2 linked regions of the Schizosaccharomyces pombe genome follow. The protein of the gene in region 1 interacts with the protein of each later gene in a pairwise test. Each region holds a gene or a part of one and is shown in the gene's direction. Other genes may lie near its edges.

What was found.
Region 2: the proteins of sec24 (region 1) and thi2 interact in a two-hybrid assay, tested with the Schizosaccharomyces pombe proteins (2 studies listed by BioGRID).

Annotation. Positions count from the first base shown.
Region 1 is NC_003424.3:4,796,473-4,805,591, forward strand, and holds sec24 (coincidence detector Sec24/Sfb2 subunit), read left to right. Parts: upstream 1-3,122; 5' UTR 3,123-3,282; coding exon 3,283-6,063; 3' UTR 6,064-6,180; downstream 6,181-9,119. Other genes in the region: RNA polymerase I termination factor Rtf1, read right to left, coding at 795-904, 952-1,103, 1,149-1,481, 1,520-1,631, 1,671-1,758, 1,804-1,970, 2,018-2,456; rRNA processing protein Rrp16, read left to right, coding at 6,707-6,843, 6,899-8,021; putative U2 snRNP-associated protein Sap145, read right to left, coding at 8,158-9,119. UniProt on the Schizosaccharomyces pombe protein: Component of the coat protein complex II (COPII) which promotes the formation of transport vesicles from the endoplasmic reticulum (ER).
Region 2 is NC_003423.3:3,936,273-3,943,576, forward strand, and holds thi2 (thiazole biosynthetic enzyme), read left to right. Parts: upstream 1-4,253; 5' UTR 4,254-4,301; coding exon 4,302-5,288; 3' UTR 5,289-5,427; downstream 5,428-7,304. Other genes in the region: tda1 (threonine ammonia-lyase), read right to left, coding at 1-1,394; sec9 (protein transport protein), read right to left, coding at 6,213-7,304. UniProt on the Schizosaccharomyces pombe protein: Involved in biosynthesis of the thiamine precursor thiazole. Catalyzes the conversion of NAD and glycine to adenosine diphosphate 5-(2-hydroxyethyl)-4-methylthiazole-2-carboxylic acid (ADT), an adenylated thiazole intermediate.

The DNA of each region.
Region 1 (9,119 bases):
ACATAAAAATCAGGATTTCAGTACATCAGTAATTTAAATTCCGTTCTTTGACTCTATGAAATCACTAGACGCTTGGCTAATTTATCATAAAGAAAAAATTATTTAATGATTTTACTTTTCTTCAATCAACCTCTTTTCATCCATATTTTATTTTCGCATCAATGAATAAAAATTTATGATGGGTAAGTAAATAGAATTATCTGATTTGTTATTTTGTGGGCATCACTTCTGTATTCATGTATTATTAATGAAACTTACTTAGTTTTCATTTATGTCTCTCTGTGTACTATTAATTTAATTCAAAAAATTCAGAAATGACCTGTCAAAATAGCCTCTTATGAATGCGGTTAATGTATGAGTTATTGACTGATAAAAAAACTAGATGCAGGCACCCTTGCTAAATTAATCAATGATGATGATGATTATTTTATTTTATAGCTTGACATTCGTTCTTTTTTTTAACCTTTTATTAATAATGGGTTAAATTATAACATCATATCGACTGGGGATGTAGTTTAGGGGTATAACGTTTCATTCGCATAGTTCGCACCTTGAAAAGGTCCCGGGTTCGATTCCCGGCATCTCCAATGTTAGAAACTATTTTTCCTTTTTATCCACATTTGTTTTATTTATTGACTACACGGCAAACAGGTTACATACACAAATGTATACTAGAAAAAATATAAAAGTGAATTTACTAATATAAGTAAGATGAGAACATTCTCTCAATGAATACACAAAAAATTTAAATCTATGACTTTGAGGAAGTAGTTAAAATAAATTTGTTCATGTAGCTAGCATAAATCATCGGCGTTAGAAAAAGCGGTGTAAGAATCATGTAAGTTCGAAATGTAAGTTTCTTCAGGAGAAGAATTTAGCATTTTGTGCAAATGAATTAAAGTATCTAAAGCGTTAACATATTAACAATAATTATTATATTCAAAAATTTACCAGAAAACGTAGAAAGTCCATCGATAAACAAGGTTTTTTTTATTCTTTCGAAATGCGATTTACAAGCATCTGCTGTCCATAGGTGATTAGCATATTCTGATAAGCATTTCCAATCAATCATCCGTTCCTCTGCAACATTAAGGTCCATCATTCTGAATTTAATTAGCTTCTTATTTAAAATTTTATAATTGGAGTACCTTTCAATTAACCATATACTATCGCCAAGTTTGAAAGGGGAACTATTATGTATATCTCTGGAAATTAGTGTGTAATACTTCCACCTACAATGATGACGGTGTCGATTTCTCATGTTTTTAGAAATTAGACTCCATTGAATAGGGGATGAAGGATTGCTTTGCAAGTATTGATTAACCGTTTTGATTAATTTTTCTTTCTCCTGGATAGTCCATGGTGAACGATTGATTTCACCAGGTTGAATGTAGTCGCGCCAATGATCTCTGCAATGCATTGGTAGTCTATTCGACAATTTGCCAATTAAGCTCCAGGATGTTCCATGTTTTTCAACAAGTCTATTAGTTAGTTGCAATTTGGAAAGTAAACTACATACTTTTTCAATTCTGCCTCATCTTCTATAGTCCATTTACATTTTTTCTTAAATGGATTATATTTTCTGCGGAGATAATTGTAAATACTCTTTTTATCCCTATCGATAAGCTCATCTATTATTAATTAGTAACAAGTGATAGTAATTGACTTACACAAACAATTATATAATGTTTTCATTTCATCACGATGGTTATCAGACCAAACATATTGAAGAAATTGTTCATCAGACCAATTTTTTTTCTGTTTTTTAATATTTATAATAAAACAGCAAGCTAAAGACCATACCTTTTTAAACATAGCAATTTCTTTTTCCAAAGTGATAATGTCGTTTGCTCCCCATGATCCAGACGACGCTTTTTTAACGTATTGAAACCTTTCATAACCTGGAATGTTAAAATATCCCTTAAGATGCCTATACACAGTCCTTCGTGAAACATTGGGCACTTGAATTTCTAGACTTGAATTAGCGGATTTTTTTGAAAGCACTCAGGTGTCATACGAAATTGAATGAGTAAATTATTGAAAGGTTTTGGAAGTCTTTTGGTTTTAATAAGAAGATCTCTCGCAGCCACAAAGTTTAATTCGCTTTCTTTCAAAAATTCATCAATTAGTTGACTTAACAGAACCCAAAAAGTGGGTGTCCAGTTGGTGTAATCTCTACTGAATACAAAGTCTTTATATGAAGTAGTGCCTGTTTTTTTGAAGCCTCGACATGTTTCATGGTCTTTCGCACTTCCAGCAATTGCTGTTTTCACATTTTCAGGTGATACCATAGTCTCATCATAATTGTATTCATGAAAGCTTATGGGGTTTCCCAAGTAAATGAAAGAACTTGTATTTTTCGAGTCACCAATGGGTGATAAGAGTTGATCATCGACAAAGAGCTCTTCATTGTCCTCTGTATCCGGTCTGCAACTTAAATTGTTTTTTCCTTGCATAATAATGTTCACTTGTCTGAAGAAATATTAAGAAAAAAACATTGACAAAAGGTAATCAGTATAGCAAGGGACCCGGGGTGTAATAGTTCATGTAAGACAAAACCAAATAGCGCAGGCAACTTCAATTATTCAATCTATAATTGAACTTTTGATACTTTGCAATTCTGAATTCTAATTAACTAGTGAGCCTGTTAAAATTGGGTAACATTATAGAGCGTTGGTGTAGCTAAATAGTGTACGATACATGCAGTGATGGTTTTTGAGAGCATTTTTAAAAAAATTTCAAAATTTCTTAAGATGTGACTCTCTTGTTTATGATATATACATGTAAAATTTTTAAAATAGAAAATTAAGTATGAGTGGTTTAGAAGAGTTTTTTTAGTTGAAAACGTTTACAGGTATCTGCCTCATATCAAACTTAAAAAAAAAAAAGAATAAATTAAAACGATAAAATATCTCTATTGGCTTTTGTTTACTAATAATCACTATTTTTTATCAATTAGGTACAAAGTTCCTGCCTATGTTAAAATTATTAGGGTAATAACGTGTGTCACCGATATAATTACTACGATACATAGTATTTAATAACGAAACTGTAAAGCTCGTTAACTTTCCAGTGATTACCTTAACTTTCCATCTACGTTAGTTGAACCAGCGAATGTAGCTGCCATTTACCTACTCCAGGGAACACTGTTAAAAACGTCTTTTTGTGAAAAGGAAGGAAAAATAGAGGGATCTTCAAAAAAGTTATTAAATAATTCAGTGTTTCTTTTCTTTTTTTTGCTAGCAATATACCACTGTAAGTAAAAAAAAATACACTAAAGCAATGAGTCAGGAGGACGCTTTCTACGGAAAGGGTAGTTATGGAGCTAGTAGTGGAAATTCGAATATACCTCCTCAAGGATTTCAGCCAGTTTATCCAGTTGCTGGCCAGCTAGATAATACCGCTCCTTATGTCGGGGCAGTTGCTGAGGGTACAGCTGAAGGCATTGTAAGCAATGGTGAATACGCTGTTGGAGCTATGGGTGCTGCTCCTACCAACATAATAGGATCTGTCGATCAACAACCACCCGTTTCTCATACCTCTCATAAGTCTCGTAGACAGTATCCTGCTGAGGTGTTTGAACTTACAAATACCTTAGCAGCGTCACCGGCTCCCCCTTCTCTTTCAGAGCCCTCTTACGTTATGGCACGAACTCCATCCTCTTCACCATATCCTCATGATCGCGCAGAGGTGGGAACTAAATCTCTCTCTGCACAATTTGGCGGAATGTCACTTGGAGCAGATGGTGCAGCAGCTATGCCTACCAATGAGTTAGTTTCTGTTGATTTGTACAATCAAACACCAGAAATTTCTGACTTAACCTCTCCTCCTCCTCCTATTAATTTACCCTTAAGCTATTCCGCTACTGGAGCAGCTACTTCCAATTGCCCTCCCAAATATGTTCGATCCACGATAAACTGTGTACCGACAACAAATAGCTTGTTAAAAAAGTCAAAAATTCCATTTGCATTAGTCATCCGTCCATATACTAGCTTGGTCGAAGAAGATGATCCAGTTCCAGTTGTTACTGATACTATTATATCACGATGCCGCAGGTGTCGTATGTATATCAATCCTTTTAGTATCTTTATTGACAATGGCCATCGCTATCGCTGTAATTCTTGTGGTATTGTTAATGAAGTACCCCAGTCATATGACTGGGACAGTTTCAGAAATGTCCAACGTGATCGCTGGCAACGTCCTGAGCTCAATTATGCAGTTGTTGATTTTATTGCTCCTCAAGAATATATGGTTCGTGCTCCACAACCTTTGGTTTACGTATTTTTAATTGATATTTCGTTTGTATCCATATCTTCTGGTATGGTTGGTACTGCAAGTCGTGCAATTCTGGAATCATTGGATCGCATCCCCAATAAAGAAGGACGTGCAAAGGTGGCTTTTATTGGTGTAGACAGTGCCCTGCATTTTTTTTCAGTTTCCCCTGGTGCTGAAGAAGCCACCCAACTAGTTGTTTCTGATTTAGAGGAACCGTTTTTACCCAGGAATCAAGATTTGTTACTTAATTTACGCGAATGTAGACAAGGCATTGAAAACTTACTCGAGCGATTTCAATCAATGTTTGCAACTACCCGTGATTCTAGTAATGCCCTTGGACCAGGTCTTAAGGCTGCCCATCGTCTCATTGAAAATATTGGCGGTAAAATTTGCTGTCTCATTTCGAGTCTTCCTAATGTTGGTGTTGGTAAATTGGAGTTACGTGAAGATCCTAAACTTTTGGGAACAAATCGTGAATCTAGCCTTCTTCATCCCAATGACTCCTTCTATAAATCCTTCGCGGTGGAATGCTCCACGTCTCAAGTCTCTGTTGATATGTTTCTTTTTTCTTCTCAGTATCAAGATGTAGCAACCTTAAGTTGCCTTCCTAGATACACCTCTGGTAAAACCCAATTCTATCACAGGTGGAATGCTTCCCGTAGCGAGGACGCTCTTAAATTTGCTTCTGAACTTACTAACTATCTCAGTATGGAGATTGAGCTAGAGGCGGTGATGCGTGTTCGTGGATCTAACGGTCTCCGTATGTCTTCTTTCTACGGAAACTTTTTTAATCGTTCAAGTGATCTATGTGCGTTTCCTTCTTTTCCTCGCGATCAGAGTTATGTAGTAGAGGTTGTTATTGAGGACACTATCACCAAGCCCTTTGTTTCTTTCCAAACAGCTATGCTCCATACTACTTGTAACGGTGAAAGACGGATTCGTGTACTGACTATTTCTCTTCCTACTACCAATAGTATGACTGATTTATATGCATCAGCCGATCAAGTTGCCATTGCACAATATCTTACTGTCCGGGCTAGTGAAAAGGCTCTTTCTTCTACGTTGAACGAAGCCCGTGATAGCATTATAAGTAAGCTTGTAGAAATTTTGGAAGTTTACAAAAAAAATTTGGCTGGACAAAACACCGGTGCTGCGATCCCGCTTCAAATAAGCACCAATTTAAGACTATTACCATTGCTTTGTTTAGCATTGACGAAGCATACTGGATTCAGAAGATCTAGTCATATCTCATCTGACCTTCGTTCTATTGCTCTATGTTATTTAAGTACTCTGCCAACTCCTTTACTAATGCGTTACATTTATCCAACTCTTTATTCTTTGCACGATATGCCTATTGAAGCAGGAACTGTTACAGAACAGGGTGTAGTTCTCCCTTCTGCGTTAAATCTTACTTCAGCTTTGTTGCAATCTTTTGGTTTATATTTGGTTGATACACACATTCATCAATTTTTGTATATTGGTAAAGATGCAGTTCCGCAGCTACTGATAGACGCATTTGGTGTAAACTCTCTTGCGGATTTGAAAGCTGGACGTTTTACAATGCCAGTTATAGACAACCCACTTAACGTTCGTATCAATGCGATTCTCGGTAAACTTCGTTCGTTGGATAAAGGTTCAACTATTATGCCTAGTCTTTACCTTGTACGTGGTGATGGTGATCCACAATTGCGCTCATGGTTTTTCTCTCACTTCGTCGAGGATCGTAGTGAGAACTCTCCCAGCTATTTACAGTTTTTGCAGACTCTTAAAGAGAAAGTTCGTGACTAAAGGCTGTAAAATCTGGCTACTTTCTACAAAACTTTTTTAAATTGATTGTTCTGATGGTAATATATGCCTGAATTAGTGACATGATTAATTAATAATATTCAATATGGTTAAACATTCTTTGGTTTTTTGTATTTTTAAGAAAAAAAAAATTTAAATAATTGATCTAGTAAATATACTTGGTGCTTTTTATATTGATGAAAGCTATATATGTATCAAACTAAATTAGGTATTTGCGTACATGTAGCTTCCAGCCAGCTTGTACATAAATTTTAGCTTTTATACCTTGTCTATTTTCATATTACTTGATGTTGAAGTTGTTCCAAGAATAACAAAAGGTTCTAATAATTTAATTTAATTCATTACAATTGAGTTGCAGTGTATAGATTTTCAATTTCGCACTTTAGAGCTTCACATCTTCTATTTAAAGCATAAAAAAAATATTAAATATTTATTAAATTTCATTTTCATTGCAATTAGATTATATATCCAGGCGAGTATTCACTTATATTGAAAAACTAATTTAAGAATGTAATTTTGCACTGCGGTACTAGGTGCTTGGCAAGTGGTAGAATTTTGCCTTCTGCCAAGCACTCCTAATTGTAGTAATTAGATTAGAGAGTCGAAATCCTATTATTTTAAAAAGATGGGAATCAAAGAGAGGAATGCACCTTCTCAATATAAACAATCATCTCGTAAAAACAAACGAGCATGGAGGAAAAATATTGATTTGGAGGATATCGAGTCTGGTCTAGAGCAGACTAGAGATGAGGAAATAAAAGGGTATATTAGTTTTTGCATTGTATTAATTAAAAATATTTTTATTAACTTAAAACAGTGGAAATGTCGAGCACAAGCCGAATGATGCTTTATTTGTAATTGACACTCTTGGTGATGATAGAATTGCAAAAAGAAGCAGAAAAAAAATTAAACCATTAAAGGTTGATCAAATTCTTGAAAATAAGTCTTCCATAGAAAAAGTTCATTCTCATTTAACGAATAATTCAACTGAAAGCAATAAGAAAGGAAAAATTTTTTCTAGAAAAGAACTAAATAGACTACAAGCTTTGGTGTATAAAAATAAAGATGGTTTAACCGCAACTTCTGCTGCTAGTGAGCTCAAAAATACCAAACAACCAAAGGAAAGTTATGATGTTTGGGAAACAAACCCAACAGTTACTATACCTGTTAAAAGACCTTCTACATTATCTAAACTACCCGAATCTTTAACTGAGAATAATGCAAAAGTCCCAAATGTTGTTATCGCTGATCCAGGAATGTCATACAATCCTGACGCTGCAGCTTGGATGAAGCTACTTGATACCAAAGGTTCAGAGGAACTTAAGAAAGAACAGAAAAGAATTAGTGAATTAGAGGAAAAGGAAAGAATACAGAAGAAAGCTTTTGAAGACAAGGGATTAGTTTCAGACCAAGACGTTAATCACAGCATTGATTCTGATGACCAGTCTGAACACGAACAAGCAGAAACTCCGATCCCTTCTTCGAAGAACAAACGAAAAACCAGGTCTCAAAGAAATAAGATACGCCAAAGAAGAGAGGAGGAGCTTAGATTACTTGAGCAAAAGAAAAATGAAGAGCTTCTGAGGACGATCGACAAAGCTCCTGCAATATCCAAAAAACTGCAGCAAAAGGATAAAGCTGAGAAATTCTCTAATAAGGCTGTTTCTTCTAGCACAACTGAAATCAAACTGAAGAAGAAAAAATTCGGTAAACATCGATTGCCTAACAACCCACTTGAAATAAAGTTGGGAGATGAGCTGACTAGTTCCCTTAGAGAGCTGAAGCCTGAAGGAAATTTGTTTGCCGATCGCTATTTAAGTTTACAACAAAGAGCAATGGTTCCTCCATCTTTGCCAGTATTGAAGAAATCAAAGTATCGTGCAAAGATCAAGGAAAAATATAGTCACAAAGACTTCCATCTTCAAAAAAACAGTATATAAAATATATTTTAGCTAGGGTATAAATTGGGGTTTTTTTTATTTTCACTTACAAATAATAATTAATACTTGAATAATGTATGGAGCTTAACAATAATACTGTCATATAGATTAACTAATGTACACTGTAGATAATAATTTAAAGACGAAACTTGTCTCTCTTGCTTTGTGTTTTCTGTCGTTTCGCAGCACCAACCTTCATAGCCTGCTCAGACACCAACTCCGAAAGCTCATCTTGCCAATTAGAACTTTGATTTAACGCAACATCTCCTTTGTTGGTTGATGAGAGCATGGAATGTGCATTCCTTTTTTGTGGAAGAGTATCTTCAGCGGTAGGAATGTCGTATTGATGCTGAGGACCCATGAAACCTGAGATATTAGTAGATTTTTCAGGTAAAACTTGATATAAGTCTCGATTAGCAGCATCACTACTTGGTTGAGTATTTTTTCGTAATTCAACATTGTCAACCTCTACATTAGATTGATTAAAATACGTTAAGGGCTCTGCATGCAAATCTTCCCTCTGTGACCTAGGCTCTGACGCTGACTGATATTCCTCAATCGTTTCACGTTCAGTAATTTCTTCAGTAGGATATTCTACGTCTTCGCTCTCTTCCTCTTCACTAGATTCTTCTTCCTCAAACTCCTCCAATTCACCCCAATGCTGAGTGCTCACAGGCGAACCTGTACCAGCATGTATTCGAGGTTTGACATTACCAAACACGTCGCCATAAAGAGGACGATTAAATTGGTCCACAGGAGGTTTTCCCCAACCACCAGGATGAAATCCCCACTGCGCTCCAGTCGGAATTGGACAATTCACACCGGGAATTTTAAGATCTGGATAACTTGGAGGAGGCCCGTATCTCTGCATAGCAAATAACCAAGGAGGAGGTGCTCCTGGAGCAATTCCCAAGGCTTCACGGAGCTCCTCCGAAATGTCGCCGGGCCTCTTTTCTTTCACATCAGCTTCTAATTCTTTTCCTTCAAAATAGCATTCGCCAAAACCGGTTAGCACCGGTTTTGTTTGGTAGCGAAAGAAGGCATCATGAAGCTTTTGATAATCAATGTCAAGCTTTCCCATTTTTGGTTGGACACGCT
Region 2 (7,304 bases), on another chromosome or scaffold:
ATGTTAGCATAGTCATCATTATCGTAACGATAAGAAAATTCGGTAATACTACGTGGAGTAATAATGTTGTGTAGGGCTTCAAATGAACCAGGGCGCTCAGGAATAGTGACACTCAAGAATACTTCCTTGTTCAAACCAAGATCAGCACGCTCAGCAATAAATCTAAGGCGATCAAAGTCCATATTGGCACCACTTAAGATGCAAACCTGAGCAGCATTGGGATTTTTAGGCTTGTGTTTAGCGACATAACGCTTCATACCAGCAACAGCCATAGCTCCTGATGGTTCGACCACTGAACGGGTATCCAAAAAAACATCCTTAATGGCTGCACAAATCTCATCTTTGTCAACAAGAACTACATCGTCAATATTCTTGGAGACAAGACGGAAGGTTTCCTCTCCAACAAGTTTCACAGCAGTTCCATCAGCGAATAAGCCAACTTCCTTAAGGGTTACCCGCTTTTTGTCCTTCAAAGACTTTTTTAAAGCATCAGCGTCAAATGTCTCGACACCAATGACCTTAACATGGGGAGCAATACGCTTAACGTAAGTAGCTATTCCAGCAATTAAACCACCACCGCCAACAGCGCAGTAAATAGCATCCAGCTTGCGAAGATCTATTTGATGAAGAATTTCAAGTCCAATGGTTCCTTGTCCAGCAATTACATAAGGATCGTCAAAGGGATGAATAACTTCGAGATTTTGCTCTTTAGCCAAACGTGCACATTCTGCTTTAGCAATGTCAAAATTAGCTCCATGTAAGAGAACATTAGCGCCCAATCTCTTAACGTTCCTCCATTTGATTTCAGGAGTATTCTGAGGCATAACAATGGTAGCTTTTACACCAAGAGTCCTAGCGGAGTAAGCAACACCCTGGGCGTGATTGCCAGCGGAACAAGCAATGACTCCATTTTTCAATGACTGCTTATCAAGAGAAGCCATTTTATTATGAGCCCCTCGAATTTTAAATGAAAACACAGGAGTGAGATCTTCACGTTTTAAGTAGACTGGAACACCGGTACTTTCAGAAATGACAACACCCTTTGTAAGAGGAGTCTCCTTGATAACTTCATACACGTTAGACGTGAGAGTCAAACGTAAATAATCAGGAGTTCCATCTGGAAGAAGCATTTCCTTTGGAATATTAAACTTGATGTCTGATATTTCTTTTTGTGCCGTCGAGGGAGAAATATTGTCTTCAATAATTCCTTGCAGCTTAGGTTCTAAACAATCAATAGAACTATCATTTTGTTGAGTAGAGTTCCAACGTTTAGCTTGTAATCCAAAAGATGAAAAACATGATGGACGAATATGTTTTACAGATTGGAATTTTAGGCCCTGTTGAGCCAATCGTCCCAATCTGAGTACCGAAGTGTAAAAACTCGTTCCAGTCATTCACAGTGAATTGATCCCTTCTGGATTAAGCAAAAGCAAAATCCTTGTGGAATTATATGAGTTTGGTGAAGGTCACAAAATATATTTGATGCTACCATTTTCGACGGGTGAATAACGAGATAACGAAGCGAACAATATGGGGTTGTTATACACGAAGGCCGAATAGTTATGTATCTAAATATCACAGAAATCTTTAATTTTATTTTATTTTTTAATAAGATACGGATTTTTTTCAGCATTAAAATCAAAGCTTAAGGAAAGAGATACATTGAATAAGTCGAATGTTGAAAAAGCTACATGGCAAAAAGTTTTTGTAATGAATATAAGATTGTTTAATAATATATTCTATACTTTACGAATTGTATGAAATGCATTGATTAGATTTCACCAGTGATAACTGAAAAAAAAAAATAGTTGTCCCATTACTTCTTTTTTAATCTGAGATAAAGAGGTAAACATTAGAATATTAATACAACAAACGGAGGCAAAGCTGTTAAGTAGATCCAGTATATAAAATTATATTACAAACACAAAAGGAATTTAGCAAATAAATAATTCAAAAAATTATTATTATTTTTTCATAGTATTTTAACAAGCTGAGAGAATTTCAAAGCTATTTTTGAAACTTTTTCTATTTTTTTTTTTAATTTTAAATGATATAAAACACTTTAGCAAAACAACCAATATCCGAATATTAAAATAATTCAAAACCAATTTGGCTAGCTTTTTTAAAATATTTCCTAAATTAAATTCGTACAGACAAGATTTCAATAATTGTACATCTCGTGCAAAGTATAAGAATATGGATATTAAAAATTTTACAGTTCATTGACAAAAGAGTTTAGTATATAACATTAGAGTATCTCTTTTATATTGGAATAATATATATAGTGCAATTATAAGAACAAGTCGTCTACGGCCATACCTAGGCGAAAACACCAGTTCCCGTCCGATCACTGCAGTTAAGCGTCTGAGGGCCTCGTTAGTACTATGGTTGGAGACAACATGGGAATCCGGGGTGCTGTAGGCTTCTTTTTTTTAAATTCCAAAACAATATTATTAATTCTCTACTTTTTAATGCACTCATTGGGTTTGTGCTATTTAGCTCAACAACATTTGTCATTCTTATTTTAATTTCGTACTCAATCGCATTAGCCCGAATTCTATTAACATTTTTACACTAAAAGCTATTTTACGGTATATTTAGTAAAGGTAAAGAAACACAGCTATGAAAGTGCTGCCAAAAATTTCAATTGACGAAATCAGCCATCAATGGCTGTAACTATTGAATTCCATTGTCTTTCAACTTTTGAATTATCGCAGCCTACAACAAAAAATGAAATTAATCACAATCTCTTCAATCTTCATCGTTACAGATAAATATAATACATGCGAGACGTGTAGGGAAGAAGACCAAAGAAAGTAATTTTAGAGATAAATTCTTACCTTCTTTCTTCACTGTATCCGAAGCCTTCAAAAACTGACTAAACTATTTAAGTTGCTCATGCAACACAAAGTACACGACAATTATATTTTGCAAATTAGTAATCCTCACAATAATCTCCTTTAGTATAGGGGTAGTACACAAGCCTGTCACGCTTGCAGCCCGGGTTCGAATCCCGGAGGGAGAGTTTTTAACTAAAATATTTTTTAAATTACCATATTTAACAAAAGAGGATAATAATGAGGATATGCTAGTAAAATTTTACTATCGAACCTTAATGAGTCGAAGAAGCAAATACAATAAACCTTCTTGGAAGGTTGTATACATTGCTGCAAAATATCTCATATATTGAATAATGAATATGTTTCATTAATAACAATAAGTTATGTGTTCATTAAGACTCCGAGCTTAAAAGCTCTCGATTATGATGGCATGCTATGTCTTTACCACCATCTAAACTGGCTTAATCGAAACATAAGAATGTTATATCGATTGAAGTTGAGTTTTAGAAAATCAAGGTATCTTTTTTTCATCATCAGCTGACCTTTCAACCCTTCAATTTATATTTATTTGAAGACTATGCAAATGCTTTGTATAATAGCATCCATCCTTAGTTGGTGAGCCATTGGATATGATTTTATATATAAGCCAAAGTTACATTAATAACCTGTTAGTTGCTATAACAGTCAAAAAGTCATTGGCTTGGAAATCACGATGAACTATCTAACGAAACACCCAAGTCTGTCTTCAATCAAAAAGGGAGATGTATTGATGTCTATCCGTATCACCTGGCTCTTTTTTTACTTTCCAATGAGATTGTAATCTTTAATGACGGGTAGTTACTGTGATGAGGCTTTTATTTTTAATTTGAAGACGCCATCTGTAATTCATCGCCGCCGATCAGTTACTTGGATGCGAACAAAATCAGCAAATAATAGCTGCATATTCAGATATTTATCATGTATCAATTACACTTACGAATGCAACCCAATACTCGCCATACTTGCAAGCTTCCGAGTCCGAAACACTTTTATCAAATTTGAAATATGGCAATTTTATGTTAGAAAAGTCTCTAAACTTTTGTGGTACTATTGATCTTAAGTCTAACATTAAAAAATTAATTTTTTTGACGCTAATTGTCTTTAAAATTCGATCTCTGTTCAATATTAATGCTTGTGTCATATCATCAGACTACACTATTTCTATGCAAAGATTTATATAAAATGACCAGAAAAGCTTAAAAAATCAGATCCACTAATTTGCAACCGAAACTGGAAATATGTAACCGAAATTTGATACTACGGAGTTATGAACCCGGCAGCCAAAGGCAAGTTTGTTTGTAGTCACAAAAATGAAAGTCGAAAGATGGTAAGAATTTTGATATATAAAGGGGGCTCATAGCATGTTTCAGCATCAATTGAACATTCCACTATCGGTTCTGAATATTATTCTTAAGTTTCAAAATGGCCCCTGCTACTGCTGTCGTTACACCCCAAACTGCCTTCAAGACTGACTTGCCAGTTGAAAAGACTGCTCATAACACTGTAGTGAAAAGTGAAATGGGTGCTTTATCAAAGGCTTACCCTACTTACTCTTTGGACGAGTCATTTAGCTTTGCTCCTATTCGTGAAAGCACTGTAAGCCGTGCTATGACTCGTCGCTATTTCAGCGACTTGGATAAATATGCTGAATCCGACATTGTTATTGTTGGAGCTGGTTCTGCAGGACTTACTGCAGCTTACTACATTGGAACTCGCCGCCCTGATTTGAAGATTGCTATCATCGAGGCTAGTGTTGCTCCAGGTGGTGGTGCTTGGCTTGGTGGTCAGCTTTTTAGTGCAATGGTTGTTCGTAAGCCAGCTGATCTTTTCTTAAATGAAATTGGTGTTCCTTACGAAGATGAGGGTGATTATGTTGTGGTCAAACATGCCGCTCTTTTCACCAGCACTGTTATGGCCCGTACTTTGGCACTTCCTAATGTCAAACTTTTCAATGCCACTGCTGTTGAAGATTTGATTGTTAAGGAAGGAAAAGATGGTAAGCAACGCATTGCCGGTGTTGTTACAAATTGGACCCTTGTTTCCTTGAATCACGGTCTTCAATCTTGCATGGACCCAAACACTATTAATGCCCATTTGGTTGTTTCTGCTACTGGTCATGATGGTCCATTCGGCGCTTTCTGTGTCAAGCGCCTTGCCAGTGCTCAACTTGTTTCTAACCTTCACGACATGCGTCCTTTAGATATGAACCGTGCTGAGGACCTTATTGTAAAGGGAACTCGTGAAGTTTTTCCAGGAATGATTGTTGGAGGTATGGAGCTTTCTGAATTTGATGGTGCCAACCGTATGGGACCAACCTTCGGTGGTATGATGTTTAGCGGCATCAAAGCTGCTCAAGAAGCTCTTGCTATTTTTGATGAACGTAAGGCTGTTAATGAAAAGTACTTGTAAAGAAAATAGTGTACTAGCAACCTTTTGATATTTCTACATTTGTTTTAGTCATTGATTTTACCATTACTACAACGTTTTTTAATGCAATTTACTTATACTCAAAGAGATTCAAATACATTTACTTAACAGAATAAACCTGCTTTTCTCGTAGTTTTGGTTAGCTATGAGTTTTATGCCTTTTCACGTAGTTTTGTACAATATAATTGGCTAACGAAATATCACAACAGTTTAGAGTAAACTGTAAGCGAGATCTTGCGTTATCTTCTCAATTTCACAGATCGCTTAATATAATATTTTATATTGGATGAACTAACAAATTAAATAATAAAAGGCTATTTCTATAGGGAAGATATCAAAGTACTTTCATGTTCAACCATTTGCCCTAAATTATTGGAAATTAGTAAAACTCTCTAACAAATTATTAACGGTTTACATTGTCATATTGATTGTATTAATTGCATTTAAACCGGTTAAAAAAACTATTGATAGTATAATCGTAAGGACACATGCTTTAAATTGGATGCATCATATACATCTACTCTGATATTGCTGCGTATAAAGGTTTCGATGATATAGGTTAAAAATGTCTATTAAAATTGACTTGACATTGGCGAGCAATGAAATAAAGAAACTGCCATCGATTGACAAATCATTAATGCATACCGAAATAGCTCAAAAACATGGAAATCGAAAATGCCTATGTGATATGGATTCACTTCATTTCGTACTCAGCACAAAAAAATAGAATAAAAACTAACAGTCAATACCACTATCAAAGCTGCAACATCTAATTAGTTTGCAATAGTTACTTGCAACACGAATAGGCTACCGCGAATGGTATTGGATTAAAAAATTATAAAAGGACAGCACAATATTCAGATAGCAAGAAAGAGCTAATACAGACGATTGGTGGTTTAAAAAAAATCAATGGATATGGCGAAGTCGTTCAACGTTCAGATATACATCAGTATCGAGGCGATCACTTTTATCATGAATAGAACCAAGACGAGCGTTTTGTGAATCAATTTCTTGTCCTGTTGCATAAGCTAAACCTTTCAATCGAGTTGCCAGTGCTCCTATTTGGTCCAAATTGCCATCAATCTCCTTCTCCATAGCATCATCCTCGGCATCTGGCTCAAACTGGTAATGAGAACGCTCTAAAATGGAAACACCCTTTGAGTCACCCTTCTTTTTATTTGATTTCATGTTGTCTTTCATAGCCTGATCTATGCGTTTCTGAGATCGATATGCGAATTGGCGATTCAGCATTTCATCTTGACGTTCAGCATCTCTTTTTGCGGCCAAACGAGCTTCTTCAGCAGCGACTCTCTTTGCCTTTCCCCATGGTTTTGGCACATGAATAGCAAACATGCTTCGATTAAGCGTTTTCAGTTCCCGAGCTTGTTCTTCTGCCCTTTTAGCATGTATTTTTGAAATATCCAACTCTTTTTCAGCAGTGGCAATTTTCTCGGTTTGCTCTCCCAAATTGGCTAACGTAGCTAGACCCATTTGTTCGGCATTTCCTGCCATAAGCAAAGCATTTCTCGTACTTGACAAACTATCCTGTTTGACAAATTGAATCTTTTGTTTGATGGCCTCGACTTCTTGATCCTCCTCATATCCATCACGGTATCCTTCGCCATATTCATCTCCTTCAGTACCATCATCATTGTGGGGAATAGTATCCGTTGTGGACTCATCATCGTTTTGGATACGTGCTCCTGCGAACAATTCCTGTTTTTTGAGATCTAAAGTGTCTTGACTGGGAGCAGAACGATGCATGCTGGGCCTCTCCGTAACTGCAGCAGAAGATTTCATTGGTGGCATGTCTTTTCTAGCGTAGGGGTCATTACGAATTGGAGTAATGGAATACCCAGCATCTCCATTGGAATTTGTTGCACCGTAGTTTCCATAATTGTTGGAAGAACCATTGCTTCCATAGGTGTTAGAGGCACCGTAGCTCCCATAATTGTTGGAGGAACCATAATTTCCATAATTGTTGGATGAGCCATATGT